2 linked regions of the Mytilus edulis genome follow. The protein of the gene in region 1 purifies or fractionates together with the protein of each later gene. This does not show direct contact. Links are inferred from orthologs where the notes say so. Each region holds a gene or a part of one and is shown in the gene's direction. Other genes may lie near its edges. The genes, in order: pyruvate dehydrogenase E1 component subunit beta, mitochondrial-like; dihydrolipoyllysine-residue acetyltransferase component of pyruvate dehydrogenase complex-like.

Region 1 (12,213 bases):
ATTTGGACTTTGACTTTATCTTTTACTCATATGGCATCAGTAAACTTTTCGATGCATATACATGGATTTATCAGAGTTTTAATTTAGTCAAAATGCGTTTATAAAGTGCCAACAATACTGAGTACAATACCTCATCTCTGTTGCATTTTTATGTTGTAGAAGAAGTCACTTTTCGAATTCAAGCAGCATGTAGCTGAACGCTAGAGTAAAATTAATACTAAATCTTTGTGCTCTGACTTGTTTCACAATTTACTATATGGTTTGTAATCAAACAAAAATTTAGTCATTATGATGTTTGAAATATTTAGACACTTTTGTCGTGCATGTTCCTCGACAGTCGTGTTGGTTGCATAAAACGACCTTCCTTAGTTACAGCCACTTTGTTGTGTTCTATTTTATAGAGCATATTTAGCCTAGCGTCTTTTCGCCTTTTTTTCCAGAGATGGTCAATTAATCCAGGTGCTCAATCATTTTGCTGATACTTGAGTGATTATGGTGTATGTTGGAAACATATCTTGCTGCTCGTCTCTGGATCATTTCTAGACGATCTATTTCGGTTTTAAAGTATGGGTCCCATACTTGACTTGCATACTCTATTACTGGTATTGCGAGGCTTTTGTATGCATTTTCTTTGACTGAGGTTGCTCCTATGTTTAGATTTCTCTTAAGGGAGCCTATTGTCTTATTGGCTTTATTGCATATGTTATTGATATGATCATTCCACTTCAGTTCGGATGTGAAGGTGCAACCAAGGTATTTAGCACTTTTGACAGGTTCAAGTTTGTGACCATGCAATATGTACGAAGTTGGAATGGTGTTGTTTTTGCGGCTGATGGTAAGAACATTGCATTTGTCCGGATGGAAGGACATTTTCCATTTGACTTTCCATGTTCCCAGTTTGTCTAGGTCGCTCTGGGGGTCGTTTGAATCTTTGTCAGATGAGATGGTAAGATATGCTATTGTTTCACCAGCAGGATTTGATCCCATCTGGCATGTCGTTGATGTAGAACAAGAATAATGCAGGACCAAGTACAGAGCCTTGGGGAACTCCAGATTCTACATCAATATGTTATGAGCTCTCTCCATCCACTACTACTGCTTGCGTTCGATGGGATCAGAAGCTAGCAATCCATCTATTGGTTTTACCACCGATACCGTAATGTTCTAGTTTGTGAGACTATGATCGACTTTGATAAATGCCTTTGAGAAATCCATTATAAGAACATCTGTCTGTTTACCTGCACTCATATTTTTAGTGATGTCATCCACGAATTCGATTAGTTGGGTTTCACACGAGCGTTTACTACGGAAACCATGTTGTAACGGATAGAGGATTTGATGTTGATCAGCATGTTTCATTATATGACTTGTAACTATATGCTCTATTAGTTTGCAGCAGATACAAGTTAGAGAGATTAGTATATAGTTTTCTGCTTTATATCTTTCTCCATTCTTGAATACTGGTGTTATGTTCGCATTTCTCCAGTCATTTGGTACATCCCCAGTTCTGTTGATGTTTTGAAAATGATTGTAAGGATTGGGGCTATTTCTGTGGCCAGTTCGTTGAGTAGTTTAGGTTTTATATTATCTTGTCACCGGGAAATGATATTTCAACTTAATCTTAGCAAGTTAGGGGACGACCATTTGATATTCTGGGGGGGGGGGGGTGGGGGTGGAGGGGCAGGAGGATTTGTTTTTGATCGGTTATTTATTTTTGTAAACTAAGAGGACATGTTATCTATTTTCTGCACTATTGAAGCAAGATTTTTTATTTTCATTAAAGCAAGGGACTGATTATTTATTTTTACAACTATATTTATAATATTCGAAAACATCCAATTTTTAAATTATTTGTTTATAAATTATAAATAATACATGTATAGTTAAGTCATCATGATGTACCATTTAATCAGAATTAATCATTCTCCTCTGCAGAAATGAATCTTCTATATTCCCAACTGCATATACATGTATTGCTTCCAGACACTATATTGAAGATTGAGTGTATCTAGCCTATTTAAAAAGTATTGGCAAAACATTATAGGCCGAGCGGAGCGAGGCAATTTTTTTTTAAAGGGTTTTTGAGCCACTGAAGGCTTCTGTTTTTTAAACTCATGATCAAGTTAATAACAAAATTACTATATAACAAAAGGAATGCAACACTAACAGAATACAGAAGGGCAATCAATGAACAAAAGACAAATAAATAAGAAACATTGATCCTGAAAAATCAGGGGCTACGTTTTAGGGATAACAGAACTTGCTTCTTGCAAGGCACTCGACGTGAAAACAATTTGATATGGAGACAAGCGTTTGGTTTTGAAATTTTCTACATGAGGCATTTGCCTTAATGTACAAAATGTAGTTACGGCCCTGTTAAAAGTGAGGTATTAAAGTGTTGCTGAGAAAACATACCTCAAGTTAAATGAAGCCAATTTACAGACATTTCAAGTATATTTAAATAATATTTATACTTTTATTATTAAACAATTTAGGCAGTGTTTGACGAAGGCGATTTTTTTTTTAAAAAAGATGAATTTATGATGAATCTGGTGCCAACTCATACTTTCGACTAGACCTGTTGACTTATTTATTTTCAATACATTGCAAGTCAGGTAATTTATTTTCAAACTACCACAGAACAAACCATTTATTTTTGTGATTATCAAGGCTGAGTTATTTATTTTCAAAATCCTCCCCACCCACCCCTAGAATATCAAATGGTCGTCCCCTTAATGCTGAGTTCACACGTTATTCGAATTCGATTCGCATTAACTAATTCGAATTAGTTTAATTCGCATTACGTCCTAACGTCAATTCTAATTTATATTACAATGCGCGTCGAATTCGCTTTACTGTCCAAACGACGTTAACTTTTTATTCGTATTAACAAAAGCGTATTTCTAATGCGAATTGGAATTAGTCAATTCGAATCAATTCGAATTCAAAAAGAAGAGTGTGTGAACGCGATTAGCGAATTCGATTCGCATTCAATTCGAATTAAATGTACGCGTGAACGAAGCATAAGTTATTAACCGACAAATAACATAGGAAATAGGAATACGCAATATAAACACAGCCACCCTACTAGCAAGATTTAGTCAGTAGACCAAGAAAGCACAGGAAAATATAAACGGAAGTTAGAAATCGTTTCCGGGACTTTATTGCAAATAAAAACACGGACGTTTTGACTTACCAGAACATCTGCAACCCCAATCGTAACAGCAAGAACAAAATTAAAGTACATGGAGAAAATTACAAGGAGAATCCACGTAGGTTTTAATATGTATCAATTAGAACCGTTATGCCTAAAGGCCATACGATTGAGGATTGAGGAAGTTCCTTCAAATATACCATTCATGCACGGGAATGAATTTGTGACGTCAAATATGATAGACTGGCTGTATGTATATTTTCTACCTCCATGTGATGAATTTTGATTTTGAATTTTGAATTTGATAGATTTGTTCTTGGCACTGGCTATGGTTACATGGAAGTGTAACAATAATATGAAAAATATCGTTACGATCATAAAGTATCTTGAGTCTGAAAATGATAACACTGTTTCCCCCAGTTTCAACCATAGTTGCTTGAGGACAGGATCCTGTTATGAGCACCCCATATTCCATCCCCCTTATTATCATAAATCTCAGATTTTTTAATATATCACTTATTTGTACCATATATATACTAATATACCATATTTTTACTTTAAATATGCATGTTTACTATCAACGTGAATCTCGACTAGACATTAGTTGATTACTTTCACAATTTTTAAAGGGACACTAGCTACGAGATGTATAAAAATCTAAAGTATGATTTGTTTTTGTTCAATCAATAATAAAAGTGAAATAATAAAATAATTCTCTTTTAGCAGTCAAAATGGAACAATTTTGTCAAATCTAGGAGGTTATATTAGAACATACTAGAACACACCCGTGATATCGCGGGTCCGTGACTGAATTAAAGTATATAACTATGCGCAAGCCTTATTTTAGTATTAGTATTGTCATCTGATAAAGTCATGCCGATTATAAGATACACAGTTTTCTCTGCTTTTAAATCTTTCTGTTTGAACCCGTCGAACTGGAACTTATCAATTATTGATAATATTAATTATTTGGAAAACAAAAGGTCCTGGAATGGAGTATTTTTTAATCAACAGCATTGTCCTATATTAGTTATAAATAAAATTTGACAATTAAGTAGTGTCAACCCTGTGATTATGACCCGTGTAATTACTATATGTGCATATTAATCCTGAATACACCGTTTGGTGGTGCGCCTGTCAGATGTGGAACGTACAGATAAGGTAATCGGTAACAGGTGAATATACTATTGGTATTGGTATCGGTATCGGATTCGACCCGGAACTTCTTAATTATTGGCAATATTAATTACGTGGAAAACAAAAGGGCTTGGAGTGGTGTAATTTTTAATCTACACCTTTGTACTATATTAGTTATATATAAAGTTGAATTCTTTGATTCGTCGTTTTTACGTGATGATGGCTGACAAATTGGACCTCGTAATTTTAGTATTATAGATAACCTCCTTGGTCAAATTAAGCTTAATAATATTGATAATGAAGTATTCACTTGCAAGTGAATAATTACTGAGTCGACCTCATTAAATCCGTATTCATGTGAACTTCAATTTAACCCCTTGACTAGAGATGGACAACGCATGCTTTGTACATGTACTGTTTATTTGAAGGAAAGGAATGTCAACATTGAAAGTGAAACAAATGCAAATCATTTGATGACTGATTCGATCCACTAACAATCTTTCTTCTACATTAAAAAACGAGGAGAAACATACATTTTTATCCTATAAAATAAAATTAAACAGACCTATAAAAATCCAACTGCACGTGTTGGCTTAATATATTTATATCTAATCATTAGTATATTGATAGATCCGTGTTTTACTTGCTCGGATACTAATAATTAATAACTATATTTTTGTAAATATTCTATATTCTTCAAAACTACATATGTACAGTTATACTACAAATCTACAACTCCCAGTATTTATGGCTACACGTGCTGTTCTTTGTCTATAAAGTCATGAATATTTATTAGCTATGTAGGCGTGTCAAAATCGTATCATACGCGATAATGACCAGCCAGTACACTGTAATGATTTCATTAACCAGTATTAAAAAGATAAACATAACAATATTTATGTTACCATATGCTCTGTAAACTGTTTATTTCACACTTTTGATAGTTTGGATAAATGTTTTGCATTGTTATAAATAAAATATGAAAATTTGAGTCAAATTGGTGACCATGAATTGCGTAAATGTAGATCTAGAGTGGGGTGCTCATTTTCGCCACATCTTTCCATGTTTTCTACAGTTTATGTTCAGGTCTAAATGTTTTTGAAGTATACTGATATTTCTATATGAAGATAACTTCAAATGCAAAATATACTTAAGCTTGAAAACCGGTTTGTTTTAAGAAAATCATCTGAAAAGTTAGATTAAAGGGTGTTTGAAATTTCCGGATGTTTTGTCAATGGGGGACACATATTCGCCGTTTTTACACATCTATTTAAAACCAAATAACCGCAGCTTTTAACAATTTTTATCAAATCAATTGCATTATAGATGAATAGCAGACATTTCAAAGGTATAAAAAATTCAAAATTAGGGCATTCAGTCAAATATTTACTTAGAAATACTTCTTTGAAATCGTTTTTTATTCAGGAAATTGTCAGAAAATCGTTGTCCGTTTTTTCGGTCATTTTCGGTAGGACCCGCAATTTTGTCTCAGTTTAAAAAAATATTATATTTGTTATAAAAATATAATTTACGGGTACATTTCTTCCATTTCAGCCATCCTTTGAAGGTTTTACACCTCAAAATCCTTAAACGGCGAAATTGTGTCCCCGGCGAAAATGAGCACCCCACTCTAACAGTAACACACGGTTTTATCCAAAAATCTACTTTTTTCAATATAGCAGTTTTTTTGTAGTCATGCGGGTCTAGATGTGGGGGGGGGGGGGGGGGGGGGGGGGGGGTCTGTTATTCTGTAAACATTAAATTTTCACCCCTTATTTCTCTAATCTTTAAAAAATTAAACCCTTTTTTCTCTAATCTTCAAAAAATTAACGCCTTTTGTCTCTAATCTTCAATTTTTTTGCCGGTTATTCTCTAGCTAAAAAAATCTTCATTTTTTAAGGGCATTATTCTTTAATCATTTTACAACATTTAACCCCATCCAAACCCTCAGTTATATCTTCATTTCATTTAAATCTGGGAAAAGCTTAATTATCAAGGGTAAGAGACCATATTTTGGAAATTTAAAAGGGGGCAGAAACATAAAATCATGCTGCAGTCTTCCCATAAATTATTTAATTATAGAATATCAAACTAGGCTGACTGTATTTTATATTATGCGCCCTCTATCGGCTGATAGCTCTTCGATGAGCGATGGGAGATTGGTGGAAAACAACGGTTGAAAATATTCTGGTTAGGTATTTAGACGAATCCAGATTTTTTTTCTTCAGTGGAACATCGCGTGAAGGTTACTGTGATCCAATATGGCATCCGCTGTAGTTCAACGAATTGTGCGAGTATGTTTAATGAGTAGAAAATGTATCTTGGGCTGACGAAATGCTAGAAAAATTGATCAAACATTTCGGTCAGGGAAGATACTTGTTGGTTTCATTCTGAAGGTGTCTGGGTGTTTTCAGAAACATACATTTACAGTGAACTCGTCGTTATTTTCACTTTGACACTTTTCCGACCGTTTCTACTAAACACAAAATGAAATACCACACTCTAGTGTTGATAAAATGTGAAAAATAGTCAGATGAAATAGATTGATCATGTGTGATGATACTGATAGAAAAGATCTGTAACTATAGTTGCCATCAGCTGAAATTTGTAGCAGTTATTGGTAAAAAAAAATCTAAACTATCAATCGCGTTCACTCGTAGATATCCTCTTTATATAAATTTGCTAACACATATGTTTATGTATTGGCATAGACTAGAGAAATTTCCATCTAATTTATTGAAAAATGCTTATGCTGAGTAAAAAAATGATGGAAAGTAAAGGTCAAACTAGTTCCAATAATTCATGGCTCTCTAATATCATTTTCTACAGTGAAAAATTGGATATTGACCTAAATATATGTAAAAATCTAGGAAAAAATTAATTTAAAAACTTACAGTGCAGTCCGGTGTATCCGCACACATAAGACTTATGACTTCACTTCATTCAACTGATAAAACCAATAATTGGATAATTTTGTGTGAACACATTCATAATATACTTTTATTTCATAAAATCTTCTGTTTGTATGGTTTCATCCTCTAGATTTTGTGTAATGTGTGTCCAAAATTAAGGAAACCCCTGTTCTGAGAGTTCCTCCAATGTCCGGTGATTTCGCACATGCCTTCCAAAAATAGCTTATTTGGAATAAAGGAAAGATTTTACACTACAAAATATAGCTGAGTTTGTACCAAACACACTTCCAAGGATGCAGAGCAAAAATTATTTCAATCTGATATTAATTTGAATTAAATAAAACCAATTTTATCTGATGATGTAATTTTTTTAATGGAAATTGGCCAAATATGGTAAATCACAGGATTTCAGTTATTAATTAATTCTTGAACTTATCAATTTTATTCTTTTTTATCCCTTCGGAAGGCTAAAACATTAACAAGAACGATTTTGTATGTGTTACTGTGTTGATATGACGAAATCAGCTAATGCGCGATAACACGGGCCGCGCGGACACCGGGGACTCCACTGTATTGAAAAAACAGCTCAAATTAAATTTTCAAAATGATTGGGAGAAAATGCGAGATTTTTATTTACAGAATCAAGGCAAATTGGACACTTATTTTTCATTCAAAAGGTCATTTGACTATGAAAATTATTTAGATTTAAAGCACCCACAAAAACATTTGTTAACAAAATACAGACTTAGCAATCACTGTTTAAGAATAGAAACTGGCAGACATGAACGAATTACCAATGTATGTGGTAAATATGAAATATTACCTCGACATGAGAGGATATGTTTATATTGTAATACAAATTGTATTGAAAATGAAATGCACTTTCTTCTGGAATGCCCAATTTACAATAACCTCAGAAGAGATATCACTGATTATATAAAAAAATACCCCAGTTTAGATAGTTTAAATATAAATGATCTTTTTTCATGGATCATGATTAATGAAGATAGCTGATTTTTATCTATTTTATGTGCATACCTGGATAAAGGCCTGCAACTAAGAAAATCAGAAAATTAGTTAAATACTCTAAAATATATCATAATTATCTCCCCTTGACCACTGATCCTTTCTTCATGCATTTGAATTTCAATTATTATTTTATGTTTCTTTAATCACTCTGTAATGTTTATGTCATGTTGTAATTAATGTTATGCTCTTAATGGGCCCTTTAATTTGGAAAATAAAAAAAATATTGTAATTGTAATAAATCGTCAAAAGAAAAACCACTACTGACCTACCTTATAAGTGATCACACTGTAATAATCCTGACCTTCACATTTTCCAGAATGTTTTTCATTGTAATTCCGCCATCTTCGTTCTATGAGGATAATCCTTTGATTACATGTGAAATTCGTCACTTTCGGAGTTTCCTGTAATATTCATTTCATTGATGTGACAACATTTCCCGCGCTTTATGCAAATTTTCAGAACTTGAACTCCACAGAAACAATTCCTGTAAAACAATGCCTGATTCCACCATTCAAAATCGTCTTGGAAAATGTGAAGGTCAGGATTATCACAGTGCAATCACTTAAAAGGTAGGTCAGTAGTGGTTTTTCTTTTGGCGATTCATGAATGGAATGTGAAAAACTATATCATGAGTAAACGTGGTTGATAGTTTAGATTATTTTTACCGATAACCGCTACAAATTTCAGCTGACGGCAACTTTATGCATTATACTGCTTGCTGTAACACTTACAGTTACAACATTTATAATTGTTTTTACATGCTCACTGTAATCAGTTTAAACAGTTACATTTATGATTCAAAAGCTAATTAACATGCTGTCTGTATTATCGTAACAAAACTATGATTACTCACTTAATTTATTATGTCCTAGCTTTGATTCAAGGGCACATTATTTAATGTTAGGTGTCAAATAGTCATTTTCGACTACTGTTAGCGTCAAATGGATTAAAATTTTACTGTGATTCGTCAAAATATCCTTATCGTGATTTGTCAGAGGTCCCAAATAATTATCATTGCCATTATTTTTGGAATCAATAAATGTGATTCGTCAAAATCATTCGATTTTTTTTATCGTCTAATTACAGGGTTTGAAATTAGCAGGGGCCTGCTCGCCAATGGCCCTAATATTTGGTGTGGGCTACTTAAATTTCTGCTTATCTTGTATAGGACTGTATATCAGGGCTACAAAATTTAAGCTGTGGGCTACAATTACCAAAGTCTCAAGTTCAATCCCTGAAATAAAAGTACATATTACCGTCATGCACCAAAAATTATCGTTAACATCAATTGGCAAGAATTTTTACCATTATTCGTCATGAAGGTACCCCATTACTACCCTCATAAAAATGCATTAGTACCATATCTTTTTTGAAAAGGGGATTGGTCCATTGGTAATAAGCTTTAGATAACTCTTACAACGAAAGGTCAACTTGTAACACTACAAAGTGGTACAGATGAAAACTTGTACGATAAAAAAAATTATGCAATATCCAGATTGTTTTGTGTAATATACAGCATTTATACATGAGAAACTTCTGATGCCACAGATGGCTGTACCATAACAACATGCACTTCTCTATGAAAAATCTACATGGACATGAAATAATCAACAAAAAGATGTATGACATGCTTATTTCTGTTATCAGAACCTTTTGTAGCAGGCTTCCAAGTAGGCCAACTGTAAATTCATGAAATTATTTCGTCTTCTTACTGGGAAATGGCAAATTTTGGCAATTTGTGAAATGACACTCTACTGTGAATTTCATTATCTGTCTTTTCCAATTATACTTACATATATATGCTTGTTTCCTGCACAAACTGACACCAAGTTTTATGCAAAACCTTAAGTATTTTATTGCATTGCAAAAAAATCATTCAAAAAGTAAGTTTTGAGAGCTTTCTTATTTGACTACAAATCCAATTTCTGCTGGAGTGATTTCTCAAATTTTTTATAAGAAGATGTATGCAAATTGAGTGTAGAACTTGTCAAACATTGAAAATCATAAACCTATCATCATGCAATTGCATGTTCAAATTACCTCATGTATATATACAAAAATGTATCAGCGTAAAATTTTTCTGAATTTTTTTAACATGCAAAAGTGTATATTTTTTGGCCAAAGGACCATTGTGTAGGTTGGCTTTGAAAAAAATAAACAGTATTTTAATTTGGGTCTGAGCATTTTGATTTACAATTACAGAAAGTGCCATTGAAAAGTTTCAATAAACAGTTTTCCACAACGACAGTTAGAGCTGGATCTCAGGTAAATTTACATTAAGTCATTTGTGTAGAACAGTCTTCATGAAAAACTTTTAAATCAGCAGGCACAGAGCTCAAATTTGGGAAAGTTCAGTTAGATTCTGTTAGCTTAACTTGTAGAGATGATTTTTACGGACCTCAAAGTCAAAGCAATTTTACATGTCTGGGCTGCTGGGTCTGTGGCTAAGCGTGTCAGAAGAGTGGTAGAATAGTATATTTTAAATCCAAATTAGAAAATAAACCCAGCAGTGGTCTTACATCCATCACACATCAGCTTCCTTTTTACCACATATGTTTAGCAGGGGTTACTTTTTTATTAACAAAACCATGAACAAAAAGAAATAGGATATACAAATGTACAGCAACAAAAGACAACCACCAAATTACAGACTCCTAACATGTTTGTAAGCCCTAACCCACACCGCTAATCTTGGACAGTGGTGACGCAGCTCAACATTACTATAAAAATCAGTTGAAAAGAGCTTTAACTCATTAGAATAATACAAAGCACAAAAGAATAAAGACGTTGTCACTCAAACAAAAGATTTGAGAGTAATTGGCGTTACTGAAAGCTATTTGAAAGCCAATAATAACTATTAAAAAAATCATCTATCTAAAACTAAGTTATCATTCAGTTCACATCCAATGTTTGCCTGTCATTGACTGACCTTTGTCTGTGCCAAAATTTTAATTAATAATATCTAATTTTAGCACATTCAATTACAAATAAATCTAAATGATTGTTTTTACAGTTAACTGTCAGGGATGCCTTGAATGCTGCTATAGATGAAGAAATCAAAAGAGATGATAAAGTTTTTCTATTGGGAGAGGAAGTTGCATTGTATGATGGTGCCTACAAGGTTCTTAATATATTCTCACAAAATTGAAATCAGTTTGAACCATTGAAAACTTGCTAATTCAAAATACAATGATATATAAATTAAATGCTTTAATTTTTCCTTGAAAAGTCCTTGTTGTTCCTGATTGAACAGTTATCCTTCATCAATATTATTATGGATAATTGGAATAAATTCTATAGTGTTATAATATTAAATAGAAACTTTCTTGTAATGTTGAGAACTTCTTTGTAAAACATGTGAAAGAAAAGATTATTAGCAGGATAATGGCCTTAGCTGTAAATATCTACACGGCTACTTAAATGTTCTTCTATGTTCCAGTTATTAAAGCTTTATGTTCTACGCCTCAATGTTACGATGTACAAACCTGTTAAAACTAGTGAATTTATCCAAAAATGAAAAACTGCCATCATCATAAACCAAAAGAAAAGAAAAAAAGTTTTGATTTATTTTACATTTATTTGTTGTATATGCAATAAATGTATCTGATGTTAGTAGTAGATGGAAAACAACCAAACTTGAAGCTCTAGATTATCAAACATAACTTATTTTATCAAAAAGCATGTGTACCTAAATATTTTATCCTGTAATTTCTAGAGCGAAACAAAATTCAGCAGATTTCATCTCTCATAGCTGTCTTCTACTACTGGTTCTTTTGTTTATGTAAATGTGATATAAAGAAGATATTTTTTTTCTCTGAAATTTTCTTTTATGATTACAGGTTAGCAGAGGATTACACAAGACATATGGAGACAAGAGAGTAATAGATACTCCTATTACTGAGGTTTGTTAAATTTAAAAACAAATTTAAGCTCACCTAGCCAAAACTTTAATTATGACAGGCTTTATTATAAGTCAAACTT
Region 2 (12,416 bases), on another chromosome or scaffold:
TTTTCTGGTCTGTGCCTCCGTTCGTTCGTCCGTTCGTTCGTCCGTCTGTGCGTCCGTTCTCTTCAGGTTAAAGTTTTTGGTCAAGGTAGTTTTTGAAGAAGTTGAAGTCCAATCAACTTAAACTTAGTACACATGTTCCCCATGATATGATCTTTCTAATTTTAATGCCAAATTATAGTTTTGACCCCAATTTCATGGTCCACTGAACATAGAAAATAATAGTGTGAAGTTCAGGTTAAAGTTTTTGGTCAAGGTAGTTTTTGATGAAGTTAAAGTTACATCAACTTGAAACTTAGTACACATGTTCCCTATGATATGATCTTTCAAATTTTAATTCCAAATTAAAGTTTTGACCCCAATTTCACAGTCCACTGAACATAGAAAATGATAGTGCGAGTGGGGCATTCGTCTACTATGGACACATTCTTGTTTCATCAATTTTTTGAAGAAAGGAGTTATAGAAAACATTTTACAGTCTACAGCTGGCAAAGTTTATAAAGTGAAAGATACAAAACTGGATATCAATTTGATTTAAATCCTCATTAAATAAAAAAAGATGCATTTAATAACGAAGAAATAAATATTACTTGAAAATTGAAACTGTTCATTTTTATTTATCATTTCTGTTTTATAAAAATTAAAACCTTCTTGTTTGTTAAGGGACTTACTAAATTAGTTGGTTTAAAGAATGGGTTAAACAGGTAACATGCAAAGATTAGAAAATGTTTATTTTTACAGGGCACATCATTTCAATATTGAAGTCTGTAATAAGGTATATTAATTCATCATTTACATTTTATTTTTACCATCACGATTTGGTTGACCATTTAATGAATGGCTATTATCTATTTTGAATTTATTGAATTATAAAACTAATTTTTGACTCTTCACATTGAATAATCTGTGAAGCGGATTATGTAAAATGTGAAGAGTCAAAAATTAGTTTTATGGTTCAATAAAATCAAAATAAATTATTGCCATTCATTATAAATAAATTTCTATCAAAAATAAGGCTCAAAGAACTTTTTATATTAACAAAACAACGTTCAGACATGTTAGTGTATGAATACTCAACGTCAGAGTGGGCGTATTATTATAGAATGTTTATTTCACAAATGTTTATAGACATACTTCCGTTGTCGTACATGTCCACTTGTTTTAGACAAATCATTGGTGGTACTGCATTATTTTCTATTTGCACAACATTTGCAATAGATTTGGAAAACGTGTAATTAAATCTCCCATAGATTAGGAAATTACAAAACTTGCCATAGATTAGGATTGTAAAAAATCTGCCATAGATAAGGGATGGCATGACATCACATTGGCCATAGATTTGGAACCCAACATAGATTTGAGTCCTACATATATATTCACTTTCATGTAACCATAATACATTTGACCCCTGCAACTATTAAACACCAAAATAATTTTGTGAGTGAGGTACCTTCAAATATAAAACTTTGGTTTTAGTTGGCAAGAAAGATTTTGCTGAAGATTAAAATTTTAATAGTTTTTGGATGATTAATCAAAAGTATCATAGCAATACCTGGCCTGACCCTTTGGGGCTCATCTTTTTTTATAATGAACTCTTCGTCCACCTTTCCTTGATAGGGCAAATATTCCTCGTCTAGAGTTCAGCGAATGAAAGACTATGTATGTTATTTAATTAAACACAGTGAATTCTTTAACCAAGGATGTATGTTAGTTATAACTAGTTGCTTTTAATATTCCATGTTTTTTTTTCCAATTTTACCCAATTAGACTGGCTGTCCAATTATAAATGAATGTCCAACATGGACTCATATACAGGACAATTGTATTCAAGAAAATGTTATTAAAGACGTTTGCTTTCCAGGCTCAGTATCTCAAAATGTTGCCAGTGACTTTTTGCCAAAATGTGAAGAAAATAATATTTACAATTCAAAAAAAAAGGTGGCTTTAAGCCATCAAATGTTTAGTTTCAGCGGGAAAGCAATGCACGAAGTTTGGCAGAAATGGACTTATTGCACAATTGGTATAGAAAGATGTGCCAGGTGTGTAGAAATATTGATGCCCGATTGTCAAGTCTAATCACTAATAAAAGTCTCCATAAGGCAGCTACCATTTGATTTTTATGGGGGGGGGGGGGGGGGGGGGGGGGGGCTAGGATGAAATTTGAAAAAAATAGGCAGGACAGGAATTTTGAGTAAAAAAAAGGCAGGATGAGAAACTTGCAAAAAAAAAGTCAGGATGACAATTTAGGTAAAAAAAGTCAGGATAAACTAAAAAAAAAAAAAGGCAGGACCAAATAGAGTGAAAAATAAAAAGACAGGACAGAGATTACAACTAAAAAAAATTGCAGGACAACATTTTTCATCCTAGCCCCCCCCCCCCCATAAAAATCAAATGGTAGCTCCCTAAAAAGTGTTACTTAGTATTTAAAACTGTAACATAATGAATTGATTAATTGATTGTTGGTTGCTTAACGTCTAGTGTCAAATATTACATGCATGTTCAGGACGAGAACAAGTTAACAATAAATACAATAGGTAGGTTTGTAATAGAGGCCATCCGGGACGATGGTCGGGAAAATTTGGACTGCCACTGGAAAATGAGGGTATATTAGATAGGGACAGAAATTTTGCCTTGCAACAGGCCACCTACGGACCCCTAAAGACTTGTTGCATAGGTTCTTAACGCGCAATGAACGTGGCACTCTACACGAGCCATCAGATTAAACTTCCCCATTGTGACCGGACGTGGATGCAAATTTGATACATCACACACAGCCAAACGGACACTCCCACTTTGACAAGCGTTTTACTGCTAGTCGGAAGGAGACCAAGTGACCATACTTCTACCCCCAGTAACCAATGGGGTGTAAACATAATGAATCATATATGAGGGCCCTCATGGGGTTTTTGATTATGTGATTACTTGGCCGTTTTTTTAATGATTATTTGATTATTAAGCCAAATATTTCATGATTATTTGATTACCTAGGACTGTATTTTTAGTTTATGATTATTTGATTACTAAAGATAAGCAAATATTTAATGATTATGTGATTATATTGGCAAAAAAATGGTGATTATGTGATTACTAGGACCCCCCCCCCCCCATGAGGGGCCTCATATATTAAAGACTTATTCACGAAATAAGCAATGTTAACTGGTATTGTGTCGCAGAAAAAGGAACAACTTTGAGTATGTTGTAGATATAATTTTGGTATACCAGACGCAAGTCTCGTCTTGTACAAAATGTAGCTACATAGGATATACATTCAAAACAATTGTAAGAAAATGTATTTGTCACTGTAAATTCACAATGAAGTTTACAAACACGAAAGAGTCAATTGTAACCAGTGTTCTTTCCAGGAAATTTTCGGTGGATAGCTAGCCGAAAAACCTTTTAGATAGATGTATTGTCTGTTTCGAGGGGGTGATAATAAACATTTTTTTTAAAGTTGTACCGATTTTTTAAATTTCGTTGTTTTATAACTAAAGGAAATTTACCGATTAAAAGATTGATTGATTGTGTAACGTCCAGTGACAAATATTTCAAGCATACAGAGAAAGAATTTGTATAAAGAGAATAAATACTCTAAACATATGTTATTCTATTATTTTTCGCAAACTGAAACCAGTTTCTCTGTTTTATATATACTGCGCAGGGATGCTTTTTATATAGGAGAGAAAACGAACAGAGAAGCAAAGACAACCTGTTACCTTTCAAATAAGACAACAATGTGTCAACTGTGAACAATACATAACGTCACGGCCGGTACCCAAATTGCACCTTATTTTTCTATGATTCGATATGGATGGTGGAACTATATCGTAAATAATGATACATCTACAAAATAAATTCATAATGAAATCTTTTGTCTGAAGCATTAATAAACGCAGGTTAAAAAACTGTCAAAATGTCCCCGTTTACACTGAGTTCGTAATTTTCCCCTTCATAATTTGTCATCAAAAAGGCTTTCAGGATTATCTTTTTCGCCTTATGCAAGAACATTATGTGTGATGTTTGAATAAAACAAAAACATTCTAAGAAATCCTAGCTAAAAATTCCTGTGGACCTCCTACGGCACCCATAAGTATTTAAAGATTTGATTTCATTCAACAAACTAATTTATTACCTTAATGTACGTGTCGCTAATTGCAACACGGCCATATACCGGGCGTATGACATTTGCGCCGATTTTTTAAATTTTCATTCTTTCATTTGCTCCGATTTTATATTTGCTCCTAATTAGATTTACAGGTAAATTAATAGTTGTACATGTACTATACCATTGGTAAAATCTGGTTATAAATTTTGTTCACTTATTTTTAAGTTATTTTTGATTCATATTGTTCTGAAACTTCGTTGTAACATGATGGACATATGCTCACTGACACTCACCAAAGAGTCAATTCTTTGATCATCGGAAGGTCAGTGTCCTGAAACAAAGCAACGTATTTTACAAAGTAGCATAAAAATCGTGTAAAGCCAGAGTCACCACGGATTATGATGGTCTGACTATTGTCAAAATAGAACAGAACGAGCATAACCATGTGGCAGTTGACCGAAAGACAGAGGCTTAAGAACTACGGGTACGGTCAAGGACAAAGTCTGGACATGTATCTTGTAGGTCCTCTTCCACCTCCCGATGGTAAGCAGGGGACAACAGTTATATACATGTTATGATTGACAATTCATTACATTTGTACAGGTGGCTAACGGAAGAGGTCTATAATGATGAATGAAAAATAACATGACTTGGATGGAGAGTTGTCTCATTGGCACTCATACCACATTTTTTTAATATATATTCACCTGTAATTTACCTGTAAAAAAAATCGGCGCAAATGAAGAAAAAAAATCGGCGCAAATGAAAGAAAAAATCGGCGCAAATGAAATGCAGATCGGCGCAAATGCAAAACGCCGCATATACCAAATGGTCAATATTTATCATGCATGTAATTTGCTCTATGGCGCAAATGAAATGCAAATCGGCGCAAATGCAAAACGCCGCATATACCAAATGGTCAATATTTATCATGCATGTAATTTGCTCTATGGGATATTTGCAGAATTTCAACGGAGGCAATTTCTTGGCATGGTCAACATTCAACTCAAAAGCTATAACCAAACCGATAAGCAGACTTATCCAGACATAAGACATAAGACATAAAGCTTTATTTAGAGTCGGTATAGGCAAGCAATTACAAACATAAGCTCTGAAGAGCTTTTGAAACCGACATACCAACAAGTAAAACAAAACATACATATCGAGTCATGCACACAACATTAAACATATAAGGCAAGAGTTCATATCAGTATATAACCATGCAGCACAAAAGTTCGTTAAGCATCTTATAAGTTAAACACATACTGATACATGCAATTATGAGATAAAAAACAAAAGCACAAATAAAATGGTTTGCACATAGAAAGCACATTAAAAGCACATAAAGTTTCTAAAATTAGCACAAAGCAACAGAAGCACTATAGTAAAGATAACAAAATAAATTTGCCATGCTGAAAATAAAGCAACAAACCAAAAAATATGAACAGAGATTAACTGTTTTTGCAGGCAAAGCATTGGCATGAGCTGCCAGACCAAGAATTTATCAAGTTCTTGAATTGCTTTAAAGATGATTGCTTACGAAGCTCATCTGGCAGCTCATTCCAAAGCCTAGCACCCGCATACCTGAAAGATTGTAGGCCATATGCAGTTGTTCTTACATGTGGTAGATCTGCTGTATTCTGGTATCTGAAAGAGTAAGTGTTTTCCTTTAAGTGAATCAAATCATGGAGATATACAGGACAATCTTTATTTATAATTTTGAAAACTCCAATCGCCAAAGATCGCATTCTTCTTATTTTTAAAGATGGTAATTTTGATTTGCAAAGTAGATCTTCATAACTTGCTGAATGGTCTTCATAGATGAACCTTAGTGCTCTCTTTTGAATTTTCTCTATCTTTTTTGTATCCAGAAGGGAGATAGTTACAATACTGTTGTCAGGTCGTTAAAGATGGTATATCTGGTATTAATATTGATTCATACACCAAGGGTCTTTGCATTCTGAAACCAGCTGTTATCATGATACGGGATATGTTCTTCTTCTTCTTTCAGTAAGCGGCCACCATCAACTGGTTGACTATCCTGCCACATTTATTGAGTGTGCGCATGAATAAATTTTTAATTTAACAAAAACAAAAACTAGGTGAAATTTATATGTACACGTCAGTTGCAAATAAAAACACGTCAATTTAATTTACTGACGGAGCTGAGCCTTGAAAGATTCCGGAATCGGGGCTGAGACTTTACAGTTGGGCAAGGTGTTCCACCCTTTATTGTTCTAGGATAGAACGACTCCTTCCGAACTGTTGTTTTGAATGATAGTATTCTGAATGCTTTTTCGTTGTTATTCCTGGAAGGACGTTCATCTGGTTTATTCTCATATAACATTTGATAATGGCATGATACTAAACCCATAAGTTAACGGGAGGGATTGTGGCACGCTTGATTTTCATGTTATGAAGACATAATCGGCGTTCAATCATTTTAATTGAGGTCTGGAGCTGGTACGAGTTACTCACGGCTAGTAGTCCTTTGTTTATTTCATAGGTACATGTGGAAAGGACCATTTGTTTTTGCCTTCCTCCTTTTTCCCAAAATCGGTTAATATTTTGTTTTCATTTCAATATTATTTTCGGCGTTTTTCGGTATTATAATCTTGGACGTAAAAAGATCAGTGAACTCTGTGAAAAGTAGACTTGGAATTGATAGTAAATAGCAAATAGAAGTTATTTGTATTATATGTATGTTCTTATAATACAAATGATCCAGACCTGTTCCTAAGTACCTATGAATATTGTTACACAAAATTATTTTGCATAACCTTTCGGAATTTCAATAAACTTTTCAACTTCGATTTTTTTTCATCTTTTTTATTCTAGCGTCATTGGTGTGTCTCGGGTCTGTTCTAACTTTAACGGGGATTATGAATAATCGGGAACTTGAAGTGACGCTTTTTTTAAATGGGGCGAGTTGTCATATTCCATTCCGTTGAAGTTATAGTCATTTATGCGTTTGAGAAAAAGGAACACTATATGAGTTTACTAAACTCTACTTTGACAAGACTATGGCTGCTTCTGGCATTGTCAGATTTGGCAGACGATTTTCTAAACATTTATTGTCAACAGGCCTGAAGGAACCTAATAAAATAACAGAAAATGGGCACTATATAGCAAGAACATTGTTTACAAAATGTGCAGACCAAGGTGATTTTTTATAAGTATATTTATCAACATGTTAAAGTTAGTGTCAGATTTGCCCTTGACACACAGGGGCTTGTTACAATTGCCGGGTTTACTATCCATACGAACCCCTAAAAATTAGGGGTTCGTATGGATAGTAAACCCGGCAATTGTAACAAGCCCCTGTGCTTGACAGTTCTCAGTTAAGTATTAAGTCATTTAACTGTCTGACATGTGATACTGATTTTGAATGATTTATTTATGTTAAAAAATAACGAAAGTGTAATTCAGTACAAAGCTGGAAATGATGTGGAATAGCCCCCGTTTTGAAAAAGGTCAAGCCAGTATGTACTAGCTCGCAAGGTACCACTAGACCTACATCAATAGTGGCAAAACACCATCCATAGCCCTATTTGTCCGCCATTACATAGCACAGGTTCCCTTAAAATTTTGATGTCACAATATAATATATCTGAAGCCACAATGAAAAAGTGATTGTTGTAAGACGTCAATAGTTCAAGTGGGACAGATTCTCAGGTCAGCCGGGAAAAGCAATATAATCATGTCTATCACAGTATCAGTATCAAAGCAGGAAGGATTCTAATGGAAAGTAAAAACGACTTTCACATATCCTAGTCCTATAATATAAAGACTCGGCATGTTCATATCATTTACATTCAACGTTTTTTATCGGATATTTTTTTTTTACTAATACTATCAATGTTGAACCGCAGTCTTATAAAATCTGTCTTTTTTTCTCGTAGCAAAAATTTAAATTAATAATCCACTGCCAAAACAAATAAAATTATTAGGAACAACCTAAATATGAATGAAAGTAACTTCTTACCCCATTAATATATAGTTTAAAATAATGTTCCTAATCCATCACTTTTATCATGCGTTTATCCTCAGTTGACAAACAATTTTTTCATGCCATTTTATTGCAAATATATGTGCCGATTCTTTGTTTTAGGGATTTCGTGAACGAAACAAATTTGATAATATTTATAATCAGTATTGTACAACGTACGAAAACATGACCAATTACTGTAATAGTGTCATGCAATTATAAATGTATCCTTAAAAAGTGTTGAGAGAATTCGAATGGGGTTTACAAAATAGAGAGCAATCGGCAAAAAACATAAAGATAGAAAAATATCATGGGTTCTTTTTTTTTTTAAGATGATAAATTCTGTATGCCCCTCCCCCACCCCCCCCCCCCCCAAGAAAAAAACCTGTTAAGTATAAGAACATGTCCAAAATACAGTTATAATGTATCAACAGATTAGTAAAAAATATGTTTAAACATAAATTATAGGTATAACTTATTTATTAAGAGAGTCAGTTCATACCCAATAATTCTTGTGGGCTAGTTAATCAATCTTCGGTGAAATCTAGTATGTCGCTACAATTCCATAACAGAACTGTCAAATTTTGATTATCAAATGTGAGTTCGCGAGTTCACATAAAAGGGGGGGGGGGGACAAACCAAATATCCTTCACAAAAAGTTCTCTACTCCAAGTTGTTAATTGAGCACCAACAGAAATCATGGGCGAGTTGTGAGAGCGGGCGAGGTTATGAATGTCTTTGGAAATATGAGTTCATGTAACAGGGGTGTGCGAGCCAAATTCACCAAATGATTGTTCTCTAGTCAATTGTACGGGCGATGCGATGTCTTTCGAAATACGAGTTTGAACATTCATGAAATCTACTAGCTGCTAACGGTATGAAGTTGCAATGTTTCATGAGAGTGCATCAATGTGAGAGAGAGCGTGGCAATACATGATTTTCCAAGTACATATTCATACAACAGTGAGCAAGCCAATTCTCATTCACCAAAAGTTTTCTTGTCCAAATTGTTAAGATTCAGCAGTTATGAATTTCTAGTTGTGAGAGCGGATGAGTAGATAAATACCTTTCAAAATACGAGTTCATACAATGGGGGTGAGCGAGCCAAATGTTTTCTGGCGAGGCAATATTTGTATTGCAAAAATCGAGTTGTTACAAAGAATAATATAGCAAGTTGTTAGATAAGACAGTTCAAGAAAGATTGCAATTTCAATCTCTGGGTGTTTGTAGAAACTCTTCAACACTAAATTTGCTCCTTTCTTGACAAGTACAGTTTTTTAACACTCTGCACAACATTTCAGGAAGGACACTGACAGTGCTGCAAATCGCATCCATCGCATTTCTTTGTATCTGATGTATCTCCTCTGAAGTTGTCTACGGTAAATGAATTTACAATTTAACGTCGGATACAAGTGCTGGTGCTTTATATGATATCCTATACACATTTGCCAGTGGTTTTGAGCGACAAAGTAAAGTTATCATAATAGAATAAAACTGAATCCATCTCTGCCATCCTTAGCGTATCTGTCAGCTTCTTGCCAATAGGACAACACTGATTTTGGACATTTAATATTTAAACTTTTCATGCAAATGTTGATCTCGCAATTTTACCATTGTTTTGTTTTGTGTTATGCGATGTCTCATTGAAGGGCTTAAAATATTAATATTGTTTAAATATAACAGGAAGAAAATAAGTTTTTTGGAAAAAGTACATGAAGTCGTTTAAAATCTAAGAAAAAGAAAGGGAAAAGTGGCACTTAACTGCACAAGAAACATGAAAGATACATGTATTGTAATGCATAAATGCAAATTTATATTGGTTTGCATCATTCATGTAATATTCATATCATTTGAATCCGACACTTTTAAGCTCACATGGCCCGAAGGGCCAAGTGAGCTTTTCTCATCACTTTACGTCTGGTAAAATTGTTTATCAGGTCAAGATCTATCTGCCCTGAATTTTTCAGATGAATTGGACAACCCGTTGTTGGGTTGCTGCCCCTGAATTGGTAATTTTAAGGAAATTTTGCTGTTTTGGGTTATCTTGAATATTATTATAGATAGAGATAAACTGTAAACAGCAATAATGTTCAGCAAAGTAAGATTTACGAATAAGTCACCATGAACGAAATGGTCAGTTGAACCCTTTAGGAGTTACATGTATTACCCTTTATAGTCAATTTTTATACGACCGCAAAAATTTTAATTTTTTGGTCGTATATTGCTATCACGTTGGCGTCGTCGTCGTCGTCGTCGTCGTCGTCCGAATACTTTTAGTTTTCGCACTCTAACTTTAGTAAAAGTGAATAGAAATCAAGGAAATTTTAACACAAGGTTTATGACCACAAAAGGAAGGTTGGGATTGATTTTGGGAGTTTTGGTCCCAACATTTTAGGAATTAGGGGCCAAAAAGGGCCCAAATAAGCATTTTCTTGGTTTTCGCACTATAACTTTAGTTTAAGTGAATAGAAATCTATGAAATTTTGACACAAGGTTTATGACCACAAAAGGAAGGTTGGGATTGATTTTGGGAGTTTTGGTTCCAACAGTTTAGGAATTAAGGGCCAAAAAAGGGCCCAAATAAGCATTATTCTTGGTTTTCGCACCATAACTTTAGTATAAGTAAATAGAAATCTATGAAATTTAAACACAAGGTTTATGACCATAAAAGGAAGGTTGGGTTTGATTTTGGGAGTTTTGGTCCCAACAGTTTAGGAATAAGGGCCAAAAAAGGGCCCAAATAAGCATTATTCTTGGTTTTCGCACAATAACTTTAGTATAAGTAAATAGAAATCAATGAAATTTTAACACAAGGTTTATGACCACAAAAGGAAGGTTGGGATTGATTTTTGGAGTTGAGGTCACAACAGTTTATGAATTAGGGGCCAAAAAGGGCCCAAATAAGCATTATTCTTGGTTTTCGCACAATAACTTTAGTTTAAGTGAATAGAAATCTATGAAATTTTGACACAAGGTTTATGACCACAAAAGGAAGGTTGGGATTGATTTTGGGAGTTTTGGTTCCAACAGTTTAGGAATTAAGGGCCAAAAAAGGGCCCAAATAAGCATTATTCTTGGTTTTCGCACAATAACTTTAGTATAAGTAAATAGAAATCAATGAAATTTTAACACAAGGTTTATGACCACAAAAGGAAGGTTGGGATTGATTTTTGGAGTTGAGGTCACAACAGTTTATGAATTAGGGGCCAAAAAGGGGCCCAAATAAGCATTATTTTTGGTTTTTGCACCATAACTTTAGGCCAACTAAAATTAATTAGTAGATTTTCATCCAAATTTTTGAAAAAAATGAGGCGGGTGGGAGGATTTTATTTTTTAAATTTTATTTCATATGAAACCCTCGTCACGAGTTCTTCATACCGCGGAGTATATGCTAGTGGAAAACAAGTTGTATAATGTATATACATGCTGTATAAGGAATCCTACACTATTTTTTAAATTCTTAAATAAAAATCCCTGATTGGCAACCACTGTTATACATGTAATTGCCGCTTTAGAAACCTATTTATAGTATACATCAAAAAGAAGAGAAATGCTCTCTTCAGTTGGACTATACCTACACCAAATGTATTTTGCTTTCTAAGCAATGGTTTGTAGTCCCCATAAAATCAATAAAATGCATTGGTACAATTGTATGCAACACAAGTATTATGAGTACAGAATAAAATTTAAACTCAAGTGTTGAAAGTAATTATGATGTAAAACATGAACTTAACCAAAAAGTAGTTGTTGTTTAATGACTAAATTGAGGGTATTGGGACAGTTACAGAGGGTGTTTGCTGTTTGTCAACAAAAACAACAGCCATGGGTACTAAATATAAGGGCTTGTTATAATTAAAATGCGTGTTTGTCGACTTTTTTTTCTCAATATACGGTCATAAATCAAACAAGTTCGTGCTTGTGTCAATTTCTTTAATCCAGTCATGTTTTTTGTTCCAATTTGTTCTACAATTCTTGCGCTTTGGATATCATTCAGTCCAAATTTCCTGACGCACAGTCATTGTATAAATAAAGTAAAAAACACTGTAATTTGCGTTCAAGGACAAGGCGTTTTACTCGTAACTCGATTATTTCATGCCCTTCTCGTTATCATTCTCTATTCTCGGTAGATGATGTTGTCATCATAGAGCAGCAGAATATGTCGACTTAATCATTTTCGTTAGATTACTCGAAGAAATACAAAAACAAAATTTGAAACAGGAAGTTTTGAATGAAACGAAATTATCGATGGTTCCTGGTAACGGACATGAACAAAATCCGGAAATCATATTTTTGTTAAATAAAAAAAATCGGGGCGGGACGATTTCAGAG

What was found.
Region 2: the proteins of pyruvate dehydrogenase E1 component subunit beta, mitochondrial-like (region 1) and dihydrolipoyllysine-residue acetyltransferase component of pyruvate dehydrogenase complex-like purify together in Homo sapiens (affinity purification with mass spectrometry; 4 studies listed by BioGRID and IntAct, counting the BioPlex papers as one, with this or other methods). This does not show direct contact. The link is inferred for Mytilus edulis from reciprocal best matches to the Homo sapiens genes PDHB and PDHX.

What each region holds. Positions count from the first base shown.
Region 1 is NC_092344.1:86,489,455-86,501,667, forward strand, and holds the start of pyruvate dehydrogenase E1 component subunit beta, mitochondrial-like, read left to right. Parts: upstream 1-6,459; 5' UTR 6,460-6,552; coding exon 6,553-6,585; intron 6,586-10,434; coding exon 10,435-10,497; intron 10,498-11,245; coding exon 11,246-11,353; intron 11,354-12,071; coding exon 12,072-12,134; intron 12,135-12,213. UniProt on the Homo sapiens protein: The pyruvate dehydrogenase complex catalyzes the overall conversion of pyruvate to acetyl-CoA and CO(2), and thereby links the glycolytic pathway to the tricarboxylic cycle.
Region 2 is NC_092350.1:78,628,544-78,640,959, forward strand, and holds the start of dihydrolipoyllysine-residue acetyltransferase component of pyruvate dehydrogenase complex-like, read left to right. Parts: upstream 1-7,030; 5' UTR 7,031-7,122; coding exon 7,123-7,261; intron 7,262-12,416.